Drosophila melanogaster: one gene and its partners. The protein of the gene in region 4 interacts with the protein of the main gene of each other region in a pairwise test. Each region holds a gene or a part of one and is shown on either strand. Other genes may lie near its edges.

The links.
Region 1: the proteins of CG43183 (region 4) and CG32204 interact in a two-hybrid assay, tested with the Drosophila melanogaster proteins (one large-scale study listed by BioGRID).
Region 2: the proteins of CG43183 (region 4) and CG6845 interact in a two-hybrid assay, tested with the Drosophila melanogaster proteins (one large-scale study listed by BioGRID).
Region 3: the proteins of CG43183 (region 4) and CG33143 interact in a two-hybrid assay, tested with the Drosophila melanogaster proteins (one large-scale study listed by BioGRID).

The regions. Positions count from the first base shown.
Region 1 is NT_037436.4:18,943,028-18,948,062, forward strand, and holds the start of CG32204 (uncharacterized protein), read right to left. Parts: upstream 3,012-5,035; 5' UTR 2,706-3,011; intron 1-2,705.
Region 2 is NT_037436.4:144,808-149,570, forward strand, and holds CG6845 (uncharacterized protein), read left to right. Parts: upstream 1-1,625; 5' UTR 1,626-1,696; coding exon 1,697-1,899; intron 1,900-1,964; coding exon 1,965-2,275; exon of another isoform or gene 2,276-2,330; coding exon 2,331-2,591; intron 2,592-2,645; coding exon 2,646-2,859; exon of another isoform or gene 2,860-2,922; coding exon 2,923-3,076; intron 3,077-3,128; coding exon 3,129-3,606; intron 3,607-3,654; coding exon 3,655-3,838; intron 3,839-3,896; coding exon 3,897-4,034; intron 4,035-4,087; coding exon 4,088-4,163; 3' UTR 4,164-4,249; downstream 4,250-4,763.
Region 3 is NT_033778.4:22,612,476-22,617,359, reverse strand, and holds the start of CG33143 (uncharacterized protein), read right to left. Parts: upstream 3,033-4,884; 5' UTR 2,639-3,032; intron 1-2,638. Other genes in the region: tous (testes of unusual size), read left to right, coding at 4,140-4,339, 4,398-4,481, 4,570-4,884.
Region 4 is NT_033778.4:8,590,281-8,593,471, reverse strand, and holds CG43183 (uncharacterized protein), read right to left. Parts: upstream 1,278-3,191; 5' UTR 1,152-1,277; coding exon 1,028-1,151; intron 977-1,027; coding exon 888-976; intron 831-887; coding exon 698-830; intron 639-697; coding exon 568-638; 3' UTR 503-567; downstream 1-502. Other genes in the region: CG14752 (uncharacterized protein), read right to left, coding at 1,652-1,907, 2,388-2,449, 2,882-2,902.

The DNA of each region.
Region 1 (5,035 bases), on a different chromosome or scaffold from region 4:
TTCGAAAATTTAAGTGCACAAAGTGCTGTCAAGAATTAAGATCCTGACACTTTCGGTCGTTATTTTGTTCGTGCTCTTTTTATGGTTTTTATAAGTTCAGAAGTGGTTAAAACGCATTGTGTTTGGGCAAAAAGAACAGTGAAACTACTTTATTAAATCACCTTAAGTGAGAAAACATTATGCTTCTTTACTCTGAGATCATAACGCGTTATATTGGATTTACTTCGTATATTGTTATATTGAATGTGAAGTGCATTTACTTTGCTTTTCGATTTTCTGCCGAGGACACATTGATCCCTTTTCAGTGCATAAGGACTCGGTGAGCCCTCCGAAAAAGATTTGCACTTTAGTGCAAGGAAGTGCAGAAGACAAAACTTTTGCACGCTATTTTTATTAGTGCCCCAGAGAGAAAAAGTACAGTTGAAAGTCTGCAAAGCATTTTTCTAGATTTCCATTCTGATGCAGTTTTCGCGCACTTTTTTCTTAGCCTCAACAGAACTGAACTAAACTTAAACGCATTGGCATCCGTTTCTGGTCGAAAGCGGTTTATTGCTAAAGAAAAAAACTTAAATAAAGTGGAATTACTTGTTTCAGGGGGTTGATGCCAAGGATTCTCAGGCGCTGAAAGTCGAGTCTATTCCAAAGAAGTATTTTGCATATTCATTCTGCGCTACTTTGTCGCTACTTGAAAATTGCGATTGACGGGCCAACTCTTGAGTTGATGGAAAAGTTTTCGGCCCAAGGACCCCGTGCTTAAACCTCTTCTTTAACAGATTCAAGCTTTAGACTTGTCTTCAATTAAATGTTCTTTAAAACGAATTCATTGCGGAACTTGTAATATCTGGAGCATTACCCTGAATAATTCAATAAATATTTTCATTTCCAATTATGGCAAATGGCGTAAGTTCACTGGGGATTTTTTTGGTCATTAAAGTTTCCCCCGCCCGAATTAATTGCCCCTAAAACTTACTGGCAACACAAATATTATTTTATGTATTTTTTCGGAAGCCAGCGTTGATATTAAGAAAAGTTTGCCCAAGAGGCGTGGCGCATTTTCGTTGGTGTGGCCTGTTCCACTAATGAGCCTATTGTTCGGCAGATAAAACGTGGCTAACTTGGGGCCCAGAGGAACAGGAAATGGCTGTTGTTGTTCCCGAAGTTGTTGGCATTAGCGGAAGGGTTGAGCTTCGGGCGGGAAAACTTTGGTTGGCCAATATGGGTGGGCAGACTTGTAAGTTTTCGAAATTTAAATATGTAATTAGCTACTATTTATTTCGATACAAGAACATTTCAACGAGCTCTTATTGTATGTTTTCTAAAGTTCAAACTTTTTATATTAAATACCATTAGCTTTTAGATTTTAGATTGGCAGTGTGCATATAGAATTGTGAAATTTGCATTCACATTTTCTTTGAAGTTAATATGACAATCAAAGTTTGTTTTTATAATAATACATATTAATTATATATTTCATAAGACGATGGCTTTATTATCAAAGTTTCTCTTTAATCCCAAGCATTTCGAGCTTGAGTCATTTCCCTCTCATAAACGCAGTTAATTGTTTTCAGTTTGCATTACTATTAGTTTTTTATGAACTTTGCCAGCAGCTGGCAAAACAATTTGCCCGCTGCCTTGTCTATCTAGCATCCATTCAGCCCCATTCCGCATCGCCCATCCTCTTTTTCCCTGGCTCTTTTTCTGTGCGAAGGGTCCTTGGTGATCTCCTTTAAAAACGAAAAGGAAACTGAAATTGTAATTAAATTTTTGCCAATTCGTTTAATTGAGTTTTAAGCCGCAACTTCTGAATGCCCGAAATTGAAAGTACCCTCCTGCAGACCCACAGCCACTTCTTAAACCACTCTCTCTCTGGTGAACTGCTTAAATATATTTGCCTGATGTTGGCTCGGTTGTGGTTCCAATAATATTTTTTATACATTTTACGACCGCTAGCTGCGACTGTTTGGGCCGTAATTAAGTGCGTCTAATTTGTGTTAAGCGCCGTGCCACTTGAGCATCGCTTTTACTTTTCGTGCTCCAAATTTATTTTTTATCCCAACCTTGGTCCTGCGTGCTTAACTTAAGCCCATACGTTCCACCAGGCCAACAGTAGCTGCAAAACTCAAAAGACCCATTTCGGAGCGGGCTAAAGGCAGTCGAAACAGGGCTTTAAAGGTTGTCTGGGTACAAACTGCCGTTAAATTGCCACTTCCCCCTGGGATTTTATACCGTTTTTTTTTTTGTGAAATGGAGGCAGACGAAATAAAACATTTTTTGAGTGATTTCTGTATGTGATTTCGGTACGCTTCGCAGAATTTTGAACGAGTGTTAGGGGCTGAAGTGCATGAATATCAACTTTTAAATGAAAAGGTATTTTGCACTTGTATATTTTGAAGAGTAAATGAAAGTGATTTTGAAGTGAATAACAGTTGCTGAAGACCTTAGATTAAAACTGTAAAAAACTAAGGACTATTTAGCTAGGCTTATTTGTTGCATTTGTTTAGTAAATATGTTGTGGATTAATCCTTGAACATTTATAGGTCCTACCACTTTTACTTTTAAGCTGCCATCTGCTTAATTTTATCTCATGGCACATTAAAACTTTTTCTTCTTTCAGCATTTGTTACCTTCCTAATTAGCGCATTTCCTCTGGGGTTTTTTAATTTGACTCAGCTTCTATAGCTCTTTTTACGCTTCTTTTGACTTACCTCATTTGTGGAGCTTCGGTTTATTAATTCACCAATTGTAAAGTTTATTTGAGTTTCACACTTTGCACTAACAAAACACTTTCTGTTTGCTTCGCTCAGTTTTTTTCTCCGCGCAAAATTAATTGTATATCCAATTTGTTTATTCCCACTTTTTACCGGCGAGTTGCGGTGAGAATTTCGTCTGTTTTCTGAACTGTTACTTTCATATATTCGGTCTTGTTGTTTTTGATTGTTTTGGCTTTAATGACGAACGCAGCTCTCGGATTTTGCTGCTGTCGTTACGCGACCGAAACGGTAACTGCTCGAGTTTTTATCAGTGCTCTACGTTTATAAGGAAAATCCGAGTGGAGCTTTTCCCGAAGAGCTTTCCTCTGGCGAGAGCGTCGGAAAACGAACGGAAGAGATACATTTTGACCAGTTTTCATGTTTAGACCAAATCACAGGATACCTTCCCCCTGTTTGCCGTCAATTGTTTTAAGTGCAACATATCGAAGCCAAAGTCAAACACAAACATTTCACATTCTTGGCAGCTTGTGTTCCACGCTTCCTGTTCAAAAAAAAAATAAGGAAAATCGGAAAACGGAGGCAAACAAAGTGCAAGGAAACTGCATGCAAATGATTTCTAGCTTATAAATTATGCAGGTGAGAAGAGCAAATAGTGTCTGCCAAAAACAGGAGAAGAAAAGTTGGAAAAAGTGCAGCAGCCGCAAGCAGTCGAGCAAATAAACTTCAATTTATCTCGACGTGAGTTTTGGTTTCTGACGGTTCCATATGGTTGCTTTTCGTGGTCTTTCCTTTGTTTTATAGCAAGGGTTTTGTTAAATTATCTGGTAAGAGTAATATAAAGCACGAAAAAAATTTAAAGTACGAGTTGGCTATCTGTTTTTTATAGTTCTCTATTTATCTACATAATAAAAGTTTTCAAAAATGGAATTATATTGATGTTACTACTTCCAATAACATTGTTTTTTTTCGAAAAAAAAAACTGGATTCAGAGTGTGCCGGAAAACGTACAGTTCACTTACAAAAAACAAATTATTAAAGTTGAACTTTCTCTCTGGCTCCGTAATTGAACGTTTCGGTGTGCATTTTGAGCGGAAGCGGAAATGCCGGCCATCGCAAAAAGTAAACCAGCGTGATGGAAGAGGCCAGCGTGTTTTGCCACTGGCGATTTCGTTTCGGCCTCGTTCCAATGTTCTTACAGGCTTTCGCCTCCTTGTTTTTGTGGGTCCACAGCTCCTGTGTCATATGCAAATTCCAATTCGTGAAAAACAGACGAGGGAGGAATATGAAAGGTCGGGAGGAGCGGTGGCAGCGAGCTAGGAATATAAATATCGATTAGATAATATCAAACTAGATGGCAGGCTGACAAGGACCTTAAGGCGGCATTGAACTTGTCTCGCCGCGAGGGAGAAGGAGCGAGTGTTTCCGGTCTCTTCATCTCCCTCTCGCGCTCTCTCTCTCTCTCTTTCCACACAAACACACTCCAGCAATTGCCTTGCATGATTTAATTATTTGTAGCATACTTTTGTGCGCCGACCAAAAACTTCACACCTGAATGCACAACAAAGTGGGGGGCTCAAGTGGTTCATCGGCCGAGTGGTGCAAAACTTTTGCCACTTTTGCCACTTTTGCATTCAGGGCGCTGCAGAGCACAGAAGTTGTTGTTGAAGGACCTCCGAACCTCTGCGGTTTTCGGCCGGAGGATCCGGGTTTTTCTATGCGAGCCCGAATGTCTCAATTCATTTTACGCCACACTGCGCCCCAAGTGGAGCGCACCATGCAAAAAAGGGCTGCCGATGCGGGTTTCGGGCCACGGGTTGTGGGATACCCCTCAATCTGTAATCTTTATGGGTCTCTCACTAATGTGGTAATCAGGCATCCGTTGGATTGTTACTTAGTATATTAATAATCTTCATTAATTATTTACAACAAGTTGCAAGCAAGTTTGTATCTGTTGGATGCAGTGCTACTAACTACCAGCGTATTCAAATGATTTCCAATCACTGGGTATCCCCAATTCGACATATTCAACTTGGGTGTAAATTCTTGATCTGAATGGGTTTCGGGTCTGCCATTTGAGACGAAGAATAAAACAAAACAGAATTTGTGGAAGGGCGGCAGCAAAAGTGCAAGCAACGCAGAAAAGGACTTTGGCATCATTACAATTTGTTGATTTGCTTCGTTAAACAGCAAACAACACTGGCGAAAAGCGGGGGAGCGAAGGTGCGGACTGAAATTGAAACAACAGCGACAGTTGAATGAATCAGGGAGCATAAAGACCCGAGAAATTAACGCCAAGTCAGCCCCAAGCATCGCTCCTCATCTCG
Region 2 (4,763 bases), on a different chromosome or scaffold from region 4:
TCTTGAAACAAATTAGTTAAATGTTGTAAATGTCTAAGTTGCTACCACTGCTACTACTAGAACGCGCCCATCCCCTCCCATATTTACCTTTAAGCTACAGTAATTAAGTGATGAGCAGAGGTGTAGAGTAAGGAGTCGAAGTTGAAAGAAAGCAAAAAATACATTTTGTACATACATATCGCCGTTGGTCGATATACATCTAAACATAATTTAATTTTTTGTTACTTTTAAGTAAATTATTTTTGGCGACCTAAGTAAATTAAAATTAACGCAATATGCAACAACACACATAAGTATACAATTAATTAAATTAAACGAAAATTACGATTTATTAAACGATGTCATAGAACGGAGAGCCACTGATAGTGAGAGAAATCTGTAAAATAAATATTTAAACAAATTATATATTATCTATATATGAGTACCAGAACAAGAATGTCAAAAAAGAGAAGCATGTAAAAATAAAAAATATATTACGAGTAAAACAAAAAAAGATAATCGAGCGAAAGGAACGTATCATTAACAGGAAAAATTAAAGAAAAATACAAAAACATTTCAAAGTAACAAAATTACGATAAAATTTGTTTTTATTTTGGTTCGTTTGGTTATTACAATTGGCAATATCTAACTGATTGGGTAATAAGTGCGCGTATCCCAGTATCCAACGTTGCAAAATGATACAACATTTCAATAGGTTTCAAAATCTACGTAAGATACACATAAAACGACCTGACTACTTTGTTCTACCCTACGCTTGTGCTGCAGTACCTAAAATCGAAGAAAGAGTACAGTGAACAGGGCTAAGATATAGAAAGACAGCTCTATTTCTGCAATCCAAAAAGGGCTTGCCCTAATTAAAATAATTGCAAATGCATTGCGCTTCAAATCCAGAAGCCTTTTTTACCTTTTATAGCCTACAGGAAAAAAGAAAAAAGAGGAGATAACGGAAAGACCCATAAAATCGAAAAGTGCATAGGTAAACCTGTAGGACGATTAGTGGAATACTAAAATCATCATATGTTTTAATCAATAAGTATTCCAATTTTACCAGGGGCAAGTGTATGCGAATTCTTTCAGTACGAGTATTTAATATATTTATTTTTATCATAATTGTATAAAAACCTGAAGCTCCAAAATAACTTGATCATTTTGAGAAAAATATTAATAAAAATTATTTTTTTGTTTATTTTCTTATTATTTAGTTACATATAATTTTATTTTATGTTTATGTTTTTATAATTTTTATTTTATTATTCATTATATTATAATAAATAGATTCGTTGAATAGTATTAATATTGGATTTGAATGCAGCGATGCGTTTTACGCATTTCAAATCCGAAACTCGCTTAGATCACACGACGTAACTTTATAAGATATATAAATCAAAAATAACTGTTATTTTGAAAGAGAAAAAATGATGTTGTTTGAAATAAAGGAACAAAAAAGCGAAAAACAGAAAAAGCAATCGGTTAAGTTTTAAATTCTTTTTGGGCGCCAAAAATGAATCGGATAAGCCAAAAACAACAAACAATAGGCTTTTCGATTTTAAGAAGGGTCACATTTCCGATAACAATGAAAACTCACATTTAAATTGGTCACACTAAGTGGGGCGCCAAGAGAAAATATCGATATCGATTCCGACTGTTGTGTTAGACTTTACAAATAAATTACAAAGAAATCGATCAAAATAAAATCATGGAAGAAAGTCAGCCAAGGTATGGCGCTATGTGGACATTCAAGCTGGTGGCACCATACGTAATTGGCGGCTACCTATGCGGCCTCGCGGTAACGCTCGCATGGAACTGGTGGCAGCTGGGCCACTTGGTTCTGGGTCTTAATCTCACCTTCGCGATTCCGGTGGCGCTTGTTCTGGCGGTCTTTTACAGCAGGCCCGTAAGGTAAGAACTACCTGAAAAAGCCCAAAACGATTTGTGTCTAACAGTGTTCCCTCACTGGCTGCCAGGTGCATTGTGACTTTGGCCCTTCCCTCGCTGTGCAGCTCTCGGGGAAGGGCGTTCCTCATCAGCCTTGCCTTTGTTATTGCCGCAGTTGGGCCTACGGCGAACATTCTAGCCAATTTGAAGGTGATGCTCCGCAGCCTCGCTTGCGGACAGGAGCTATTGCGTCAGGCGCTTGGCCAGATGTTGGACGTAATACTGGAGCCGGTGAATGCCATCCAGCTAGCGGTGGATCTCTTGATGCGGGAAGTGCGTCGGGTGCTCAAGCTGGCCATGGTAGTGCTGTTACGCATTCAGGACCAATTGATCGCAATTAGTGAGTATCTGTATTAAAAAGTGCTGCAGTTTTCTCTGCTGATTCATTTTTGTAGTTAAAACCCTGAAGAACTGCGCCGCTTGGCTGAAATCCATCGTAGACCTGTGCAACACAGAAATGGGCACTCCCTGGGCACGTTGCAAAAAGACGGCGCATCACGCAATGATCAGGTGCCAGTCAAAGATGGGCGTATTCAAGGCGCTATGCCATGCTGCAAAGCTGTTTCTGGCCCTCTGCTATCCAGCCAAGATCATCGATGTGTTTTGCAGCGGTTACTGGGATCTCAGCTGGGGTCTTCTTGATAAAATCGCAGAACGTGAGAGTGTAAACAACGATCGGTACTTTGGTTATTAGTTATACGATCTCGCAGGCTACCGTGAATTTGTGCGGCACATCGAGGAAATGTTTGATGCCAATATCACTTTTGAGCACGAATTTTTCTTCGATACAAACTCTTCAAAGAGCCTGACGGACGTGGGGGAGGAAATTTTACAGGATATTAACAAGCGTCTGTCGTCGTTTATCTTCTTGAGCAGCTTTGTGGACATTCTCTGCTGGGTCATGGTGGTTACTGTATTTTTTAAGTAGGCAAGAGCTTAATCATCTTATTAATTTAGTGTTGGTGATGCCTCAATTGTTCCCATCAGAGCCACCATCTTCTACCTTCGATATATGCACAGCCGGCAATTTCAGAATGTGTTCTTGACAAAGATACTAAGTGATATCGACCGGCGGCACGAAAAGCACGGTTACGATCCACTGCTACCCCTTCATCAGCTTGAAAGGGCAAAGTATATGAAGGTAAGGTTTCCCTACGTTTCCCTGACATAATATTACAATGATTTCATTGCAGCTTACTAGCTTGCGTTTGACTTTGTTTGAGTTCGTGTCCATTGTTGAGAACGCCTGTTTCATGGCCACAACCTGCTTGCAGTTGTTTGCGATTTGCTTTCTGGATTACGGGCTGTTCTGGCTGTTGGCAACTATATCCCTCCATGGCCACCAAGAGACTGGGCTGGAGGTGCCCGCTTACGTCGATCTAGAGATTAAGGGTGGGGGCTTTGTGGCGGATGTCATGCGGGGAATCGCTAATGCCTTTCGACCCTTGACGCAAAAAAGCATTTTAGACGTGAATCCTTGCCTCCCGCTGCCCGTGAAACCTGATTATGCGGAGTATCTAATTATATTATTACTCTGTCTGCTCGCTTGGCTGATCCTTTTGGCCGAGCCGTATATTTTGCGTACTCGCCATCTTATAATGGCCCACTTTTATCCAAAACGCGCCAAGGAAAGAGGCATGTTTCTGTACAACATGATTTCCGAAGATAGAAGTAAGAAAGTACATACCTTTTAAAGTTGTTCTAATGTATTCTCTCCAGCAAGCATTTTTAAGTTTATCCGCCGCAGAAAGCGTAATGAGTTTAACCACACACGGAATGTGAAGCACACCAGAAACTACACTTGGCTGAACAATAGATTCTCCTGTTTAATGTGCATGTGCTCCTGCTGCTCATCCTGTCAAAGCACTGAGAGGTGCACCATATGTGGCCGATCTCTGACTCTGTAAGTAACTCCAATCGTTAAACACACTCCGGGTTACAGTTGGATGTCCCCTTTTTAGTTCAAATCGTAACCCCTGCGACACTCCTGGATGCAAAGGGGTTTATTGCGGTAAATGCTTTGAAAAGTCACACAATAAGTGTTGTCTGTGCAATCGACCAGTGGATTATGGTGATTTTTCCGACGTTACTGAAGTAGAGTGAGTAAAAACCAGGGTTTAATCGACTATTCTTAATGGTTTTGTTTGTGCAGCGACTCTTCGGACTATTCTGAAAAAGAGTCTTTTAGCGAAAGGCAGTACAGGAAGACCTGTGGAGGACAACGCTAGCAACGAGGGAAAAACAGTTAAACATAGAGGTTGTGAGCGCATACACGTTATGCAGATAGCTCAGAAATATAATATTTCCACCTATTAAATACCTGATATTCCAACAATTTAATATATGGTTATAGGTGAGTTATTCAATAAAAATAACTCTTGTTATTGCTGATCTGATGTCAGTGCAATTCCTACCCTTCACCGCCCATGGAAGTCGCAATACGGGGACTGCGTTGTTTGGCGAGCTTCTGGGCTGAAATTATTATTTAATTAAATACTACAGCGACAAATGGCTACACAGCAATTCAGAAAATAACCTTGTTCTCACCCCTGTTTTCGATTTTTTCTTTTTTATCAAAGGCTTGTTTGCTTGATACCTATTTTTATTTCTTCTTGGGCTATGACTGTAACGTGCTGTTGAACATCTTCTCATTATTGTTGACTTTCTCTTTACGACTGTTTAATAAATTCTGCTCTTCCCCCACATGCGGCTTCCATTTACCAAGCTTATACGAGCATTTATTATATAACACCCGTCGACTTGCACCGATCCCTCTAGACCCTATATCGACCCCTATCCACTTGACCACCATCGTTGACAGTCAACCA
Region 3 (4,884 bases), about 14 Mb from region 4:
CATATTGGTAGTCGCGTGTGGCGCGGTGTGTGAGCGCTATTAACAAAAAGGTCAACTTGGTCGCTACAATTGAAGCCCGAAAGCCGAGAGCCAAGCCAAAAGGAAAGGAATGGAATGGAGAGGAAAGGAAAGGGCTAGGAGAAAATGGGAAATACCGGGGCAAAGGCTTGTGTGTGCTGCGCTTCAGCTTTTACACCGGTGCACACTGCTCAAAAGTCAACATTTGACCTGGAACTAATGACTAAACTGGCAAGCCAACATGGCGGATGAGCAATAATGCCAGTCCAAGAGCCATATAAAGCCTATCAGTGTGTGTCTCAGCAACTGCAACTTAAAATAAGCTCATTATTAAATTATATGTTTTATGCGTATTAGGAGTAAAATTTTCAAAAAAATTTTAAATTAGGAAATGACCTGAAATTTAAACCCAGCACGTCATGATCTATAATTTAGTGTTGCTTGAAGTTAAATAGAGTTTGTGGTGAACAATAAGAAATTTTTCCCAGTGCAGAGTGTATATTTGTACAAGTGCGAGCACTGGTGTGTGTAAGTGAAACGTTTCGGAGCGAAAGAGATGGCGAAAGAAAGGGCGGGCGCATGCTATTATGTCCTGGCGGTAAAACAAAAAACGAAAGGCTAGAGAAAATAAGGGAAAACACTTGACTCCAATTTCGGCGAGATTTTCCACAGGTATGCTGGGAACAGAAGATGTGGGGAAGGTCGCTGATGAAAGGAGTGCAGTGAAGAGTTGGGGGAAATGCGGGAAACAGGCTGCCAAGGATGATGATAAAAAATTAAGCGCGTAATGGGAGGCTAAAGTTGGCTTTAATTGAGTACTACTTTCAGCTTAAAGCTCGCGAGGATGGGAGCTGATAAAAAAATAATTGCAACAATGAAAGTTCAACATGGTATCATTTCAGATTCTCTGCAGGATTTTTCTTTTCCGCAATGCGCAGTTGAGTGTGAAAAGTTTGAAAGTTAAAATACAGTCTCCGAAAAATATAAACTTTTTAGCACAGTAAAATAGTAAAAAAATACATTGACAAGATAAATAGTTTATGCTTCTCGCATTTAACAAGCCAATTAGATTACCTCAGTTCGAATGGCTAAGTTACCTGTAAACATTTCATTCCAAATTTTATTCTTATGACCGTGTAAAGAAAGAATTTTTGATTGGACTCAAGTTTTTATGGGATAATCAAAATAATAGCTTTCGATGTGTGTACACTTCAGCTTATTATGATCTCCATTATGAGAAAACTTCACGTTGTTCTTTAGACTTTTTGATGGATTTCTTCGTGCTGTTTTTATTTATGCGTAAACTCATTCCATTACGATGAAATTTTGTTTATTTACAGATTGCTAATGAGCACAAACAACTTTCAGCGATGAAGAAATTTCCATTTATAATCGGTCAAACTTTGCGGCATTTTGCTCGACTTCGTGCGAGTCCACAAATACGGGGAGCGAGTCGTGTTAATATATATATATATGTAAACATATATAGAATCGGTGCATATATCTAGATGTACTGCCACATGGTGGAGCAATGCACGCAATGCGGCGACTGTGGTTGCGACGGATTTAAATTTAAACGAACATTTACGTTTTCCGGGCATTTTGCCGCCGATCCGATTTTCATTTGACCTGTTCTAGTTGCGGTGAATGTGCGGATATCGGTATAAATATGCATATATACATACATATACGATTCTTTGTGGAGAACGATTTGTTTATAATAACCTACTACGTGCGACTCGCTACGGTTCGAATGGCCAAATAAAACAGGGGAAATTGAGAGATGAAAAAGATTTACAGCAGTGCAAGGGCGAGGTATTAACCCACACAAAAATTCAAAAACACACAGGTTAATTGTGAATTCGCTGCCTGTTTTCGCAAAACAAACGAAACAGGAGCATTAAAATTACTTTTTAATTGCCACAGCTGTGCTGCTTTTCAGGTTGAGTTGCTGGCTGACAGAGTCCATTAGGCCATTTTCCATTCCATTTCATTTGCGTTTTCATCGCACATTTTCCGTTCCCTTTTTTCCCAGTTCCGATTCTGATTTGCGCAATTTAATTGGCTTAAAATTCAGTTGCCTCCTTGAAAACAGCCGCAAAGGACTCAGGACTCAGAAGTTTTCACTGTTAATTGAGCGACTGTCACAGAATCACAAGCACACCTACTTATGTACACACAGAAAAGAAATTCGGAGATCCGATGGCTTTCACATTTGTAAGAACTGTGGCACGAAGTTATTTTTAAGCCCAAGCATTGATTGTTTCAAAATAGTTTTCAAATCATTCGAGAATAACCAGACAAGTATTCGGCCAAGTCGTAAATCGATAGAGAACAATAAAAGTGCTATAAGGCCATTTAATAGTTTTTCTAGATCAATAATAATATTAATTACAATGTAACTTTGAGTATAAACTAGCTTCCAACTATCTGTTATATATGAAAAAGAAAAATATTGCTTCAGATAAATGATAACTGTGTGGAAATTCTCTCGTCCAGTGGACAAACAAAAGTTTTAACAGCTCGCGGCACGTTTGAAATCTGCAAAACACACACAATTCAGCCCTCAAAGGCTATGTACTGTCACACAATTTACAAGTTCTTTTTTTTTTTTATTTACTTTTTGCCGTCGGACTCTGGTTAACCGGCTCGGCCACCTGCTAGTGACACGCCTCTCCGGCTCGCCGCCTCCTCCGTGCGGGTCGCGAGCCTGGATACAATACTGATTTTGGTTTTGAATCCGATGTGGATGCTGATGCGAGTGCGGATGAGGATTCGGAATCCCAGTCCCTGGCCCGATCCCTACTCGCAATCGGAGGTGGAAAGGCGTGCATCCACTGATAACGGCGAAAACAAACACTTCACTGCGCTCAGTTCTCAGTTGACTGTTGTCTGCACTCGGCTCTCTGCCCGATTAACTGTGCTTTGGAGCCACTGCCTTTCGCTTGCTTTCACTTCCGTTTCCGGTTTCCGTTTGCTCGTTGTGCTGCGGCCGACGCGAAAACTACTACTGAAATGGACAGCGGAAAATGAAAACGAAACTGAACCGAGAAAGCCGAAAGAGCGAAAGCTTTCCACGACAGCGGTGCACGGATTGGAGATGCTTATTTGACTATTTTATGGCTAATTCGAAGGGGGTGTACTTGATGGAAATCTTTAATGAACTACAGACAAATTTGAAATTGTTGTTATATTTTTAAAAAAATTTTCTTTCTGATATGTCTTTTCTAATTCTAATAACTATTAATCACAAAAGTACCGCCAAAGTTCACCCCAACGTAGTTGAGTTTGAAATTATTCTATTGGACAATACTGCTATTAAATACTTTATACACATGAAAATTGTGTTGTCTGAAAGGAAAACCATTAATCAAGCCAATTCCCCACCCAATTTATTTCCCCAACTGGGAGAGCTCAAACCATTTTCGGCATATCCAACTTGTAGGATTGTGGACACAAAAGCTTTCCCCCTTTCCCAAGAATTTCCCAGCTGAAGAGGGGCCGAGCAGCTTTTCTTTAACTAACAATTTCTTGCGTTAGGTCGTGTTCGCAGTGCCAAGGAGACGATAGCCGCCAACTACTTGTGGGGATTTTGGGGGATGACACAATGCTTGGAGACCCAACTGACTGGCTGGCTGTCTGACTGGCTGATTGACTGACTGACAGAGTGACACAGTGACTGGCAGACCCATATTCAGCGAAAAGCGCATTGACAGAGTTCAAGTGCGACGGTGTGGCTGTTGCTCTATTGTTGGCCAGGAAACGAGCGCCGGTTTCGGCGGAAATTTCAATGTTGTTTTTATCAAGCGCTTAGCTTTCATCACAGACCCCTCCCTTGTCACTCGAGGGTTTAAATTAAAAGCATACTTAGCGGCGCTTAATTACTTATTCATGGACGCTCGCGGCTCCGTTCAGATTGGAATAGACCCAGAGCCTGGTGTTGTTAGGCTCTCACTCTCACTTCCCATGGATGCCATGGAGTTTGCTGTCGCTGGCAGGACTCCCTAACGATTTGCCCCAGGTTGTTTGATCGAATTTCAGTTCCTCCAATTTGTCTGTCTGCCAGCTAAAATTGTAATCCCGGGTCTCAGTGCATATATTTTGTACAACACTCAACGAGGATGGACGAAGCCAACAAGGAGGATGTGAAGCGAGCCTCTCTTTCCAACAGCACGGTGACAATAAGGCCACGTCTCATCTACGGACTGCGTTCGGATGTCATTGGCAACATCCACTTCAACCTGACCAAGGAGGTCATCTATCCGGTGGAGGGAGTTCTAGCGTTCCACGACTACGTCCAAAACAAGCAAAGGTTTCTCAGGTGGGTACTCCACGTTTTATAACTGTTAAGGAATATCTTAACCCTTGTAATCCTGCAGGCTGCCGGAGGATACGCGACCCGAGGTGATATCCATAAGTTCGCATCGCAAACTACTGGCGGTGGTGGAAAGGCACTCGAAAAAGTAAGAGCTTCATTTCAGATGCTTTATATTTTATATAACTCAACCTAACATAGTTCAAATGAATGGACTCTTTTTAACTTTCTATTAGTGGTCGGTATATATCCATTTATGAGTTGGCCACCCTGAAGAAGCGACGTCACTTGGAGCTGCCGAGCAACCATCGCAATGCGGAGATACAGCAGATGATCTTTACCAATGACTCCAGATCGGTGGCCCTGATCACCCGCCCGCCGGAGGAAACCCTTATTATGTTGGTGCTGGACAAGACCAGTACAGTGATCGAGGGCAGGGCCACAATCCCGGGATCTCATGGAGGCGCCGAGTGCATCGCTGGCAATCCAAACGATTGCAATTTTATGGCGGTCGGAGGCGAGCGCACGTTGTTGCTGATGAGTAAATCGGA
Region 4 (3,191 bases):
GGAGATCGTAGGAAGGGAGAGATCGGAGCGGAGCGGACGCGGACTGGCGGTCGACCTCAGTCGGAGCTGGTCAAGTGAGTGCTTTGTGAAAGTCGTTCTTGCAAAACTTCGGCTTAATTGCCGCCTTTGGGAGACCGGCCCAAGGTCAAGTGCAACTGCAAATTACAGTCTTGCAGTGGGATTAACTAATGGAGCAATGATCCAATCGAACCTATCACATTCCCGACCAATTCACCTGAAATATGCGTGCAATCATTGCTTTATTTATAATCAATATAGCATTGCCCCATTTTTTTTGCTCTTTTTTGGCAGTGTGTGAAAAAAGTGCAACTCACGAAAGTAATTTTACAAACAAATGTAATGGGAAGTGATTATGGGAAACTTATTGCATGAAAAGGAATATTCGAATTCTTGGAATCCAAAACGATTGAACCAAATGAGATGAGATATAGTTATTTCGGTACTCTACGATGATTATTCCACTTAAAATGCAGATCGATTTGTAAAAATTCAAGTACTTTATTGCTACAATCACAGTACAATTTATTACTTGGCAATGGATCACATTCAGATGAAGAGAGGTCCTCCTAAGGCGGCGTAAAAAGAGTACGCCACTAGCCAGGAATAAAGGCAAATAACTGAAGCAATGGGGAAAAATTAAGGGATTGTGAAATCTTAGATACACTTAGCTACTTACAGAACATTATAGCATACGTGATCATTACCCAGAAACAAACGGCGAGTATGACGTCGGATACTATCAATATGAGCATTGCTACCGCCATGATCATAGTCATTATTATGTAGAAGAGCATCCAGCTGCTCCGTAACTAGATCAAATCATAAGTATTATAATTTGAAACTAATCAATTGTACTGGTATCTCACCCGTATACTGCCGATGATCAGGAAAACGCAGCTCAGGATGTGCAGCATAACGAAGATAATGAATAGGGTGTGACCCAAATCGGGAATACCTATGGGTGTTAGGATCATATCCTTGCTCTCAAGTATCCTGCTTCACTTACCCGACTCCCCAAATAAAGCAACAAATGTGCCTCCAAGGATATCCGCTATAATGTGCAAAATCCCTATTGCTATGGTTCCGATTCGCAGATCCACGCAGCAGCAGCAACTCTGTAGATATATCATGGTGCAAATGTGGTAGTGTGTCTATTTGTGGCTATTTGCTATCAGGGTATTAGTATTTGAGTATCTGAGTATATGGGGTTTTTATTTTATGTGTACAAGTTCTGTCACTGATAACAAAAATCTTTTGAAAAATATTACTTAACAAGTAGGTTATATTCTACCATCTTATATAGTATATAAATATAGAGATAAGCAAGTTTCGAGTCTTCAAAAGTAACCATCTATCCTAATCGCAACAACTTAAAAAGCCTCAAATAACAAAATCGTTATTTCATTCCCATTAAAAGTATTTGGTTTATTAGATTACTTGTGAGCCATCAAACACTAAGGTTCCACTTCAGGGAATCCTGCCATAAATACGCCAGGATTGTTCTGTGTACAGTCGAATTGTGATTTATTTACATTCATTAACTTAGCATTGTACAGTATTTACAGGCTGCTTCAGATGGGACTGGCTGAGTGGGTGGGTTTGAAGACAAGCAGGCCAGCGGGCAGATGGCTTACAGCCAGCCGTGTCCGTGGTGGGAGCTCCAGCCGTGGTGGTCGTGGTGGTCATCGAAGACATGGTGCACCGGGATCTCCTCGTGATGGACGTGGTGCACCGGCACGGGGATCTCCTCGTGGTGGACGTGGTGCACGGGCACCTCCTTGTAAATGGGCACCGGCACGTGCTTCACCACCGGCACATGGACCTTCTGAACGTGATGGTGGTGCACCGTGTGCACCTTGTAGGGCACGTGGATGGTGTGGTGCTCGCTGCGGATCGAAAGTGAAATCGGTTAGATCGAATGCCATGTACCATCGCCTGTTAGCTAATCAGTTGCTTGAACCCAGCGTCTTGGCAGACATGGCTATTGCATATTGGCTATTGGCAATTGGCAATTGATTCGCACAATTATGCGCGCATTACGCTGAATTAAATGCCAACCGCCGCCTGCGAAATTCCTAAGCCGCGAGCCAAGCCAAGTCGAGATCGGCTAAGTTCAATGGTAGCCAGTGGTGGGCACCATATAGAGACTGCTGGAGGGGGCTGGGGCTCTAAGTGCTACAAGCGTTTTGATTGCTCAATTCGATCGCAATCGGACACATATTTCATAGACCCACGGAGCAGTCGCAGCGTTTAAAAAGCCATGCGACCGCTCGTTAGCTTAGCATAAAGCGGGAAATGGGTATTTTTATCGATTCGCTCGGGTTATTTATGGATCAGTTCAGGTGCAGATCGCCGCCGATACTCACTGTTTGCCAAAGAAGCCGGGACTGGGTGCGCAGTAGGCCACGGCGAAGAGGGCGACGAAGATCTGAAAGGGGATAAGGAAGTTAGTAAGTTAGGTCCGGCTAGATTAACGCAAATAGCTAACTAATCAGTGTGATTAGTTTTAATTTGGCACTTCAAAATTTATGTTCAATTCTGGTGAAATCTAAGTAATCTAATGAAATGTTAGTCCGCGATTGATAAACATAAACTAATATTTTTGGGTGAATTTATATTTCTGCAAAATAAATGCTTTCGCAGTTTCTTGAAATATCTATTCGAGACTTTTTAAGCCATCAGGCGATCTTGGTGGTATATTTCCAATACTTCGGTTATCGAAGTCAGTTTTCAGTGAGTTTGTTATGTTTCAGTTGGTTAGTTTTATTCACGATAGTCCACATGAGTTTAATCCTTTTCAGCTCCATTCCGCGGAGGTTTGGCTTAACACTTTTTCGAACGTTATCCTTGTCGCACTTACGAATACTTTCAGGACGGACATGGTGGCTGGGCTGAGCTCTGCTGCACTCGAAAGGCGATACTAAAACCGGAGCACTGTCAGGTGGTGACTGATAACCACAGGCTGCGACTCATCCGTTTTATACCGGGCGCCAGCAGCGCTTTGTGTTGTTGCTGCAAGCCGACTGCGCTGCACGAGAAAGACGTGACGTCGGTGCAGCAACAACAGCAGCAGCAGCAGCAGCAACAACAGCAGCAGCAACTTCAACGGCCAAGCGAAAATAAGCATAACAGTGGACGCGCGACTGTTAACATGGCCAACATGGTGTAGT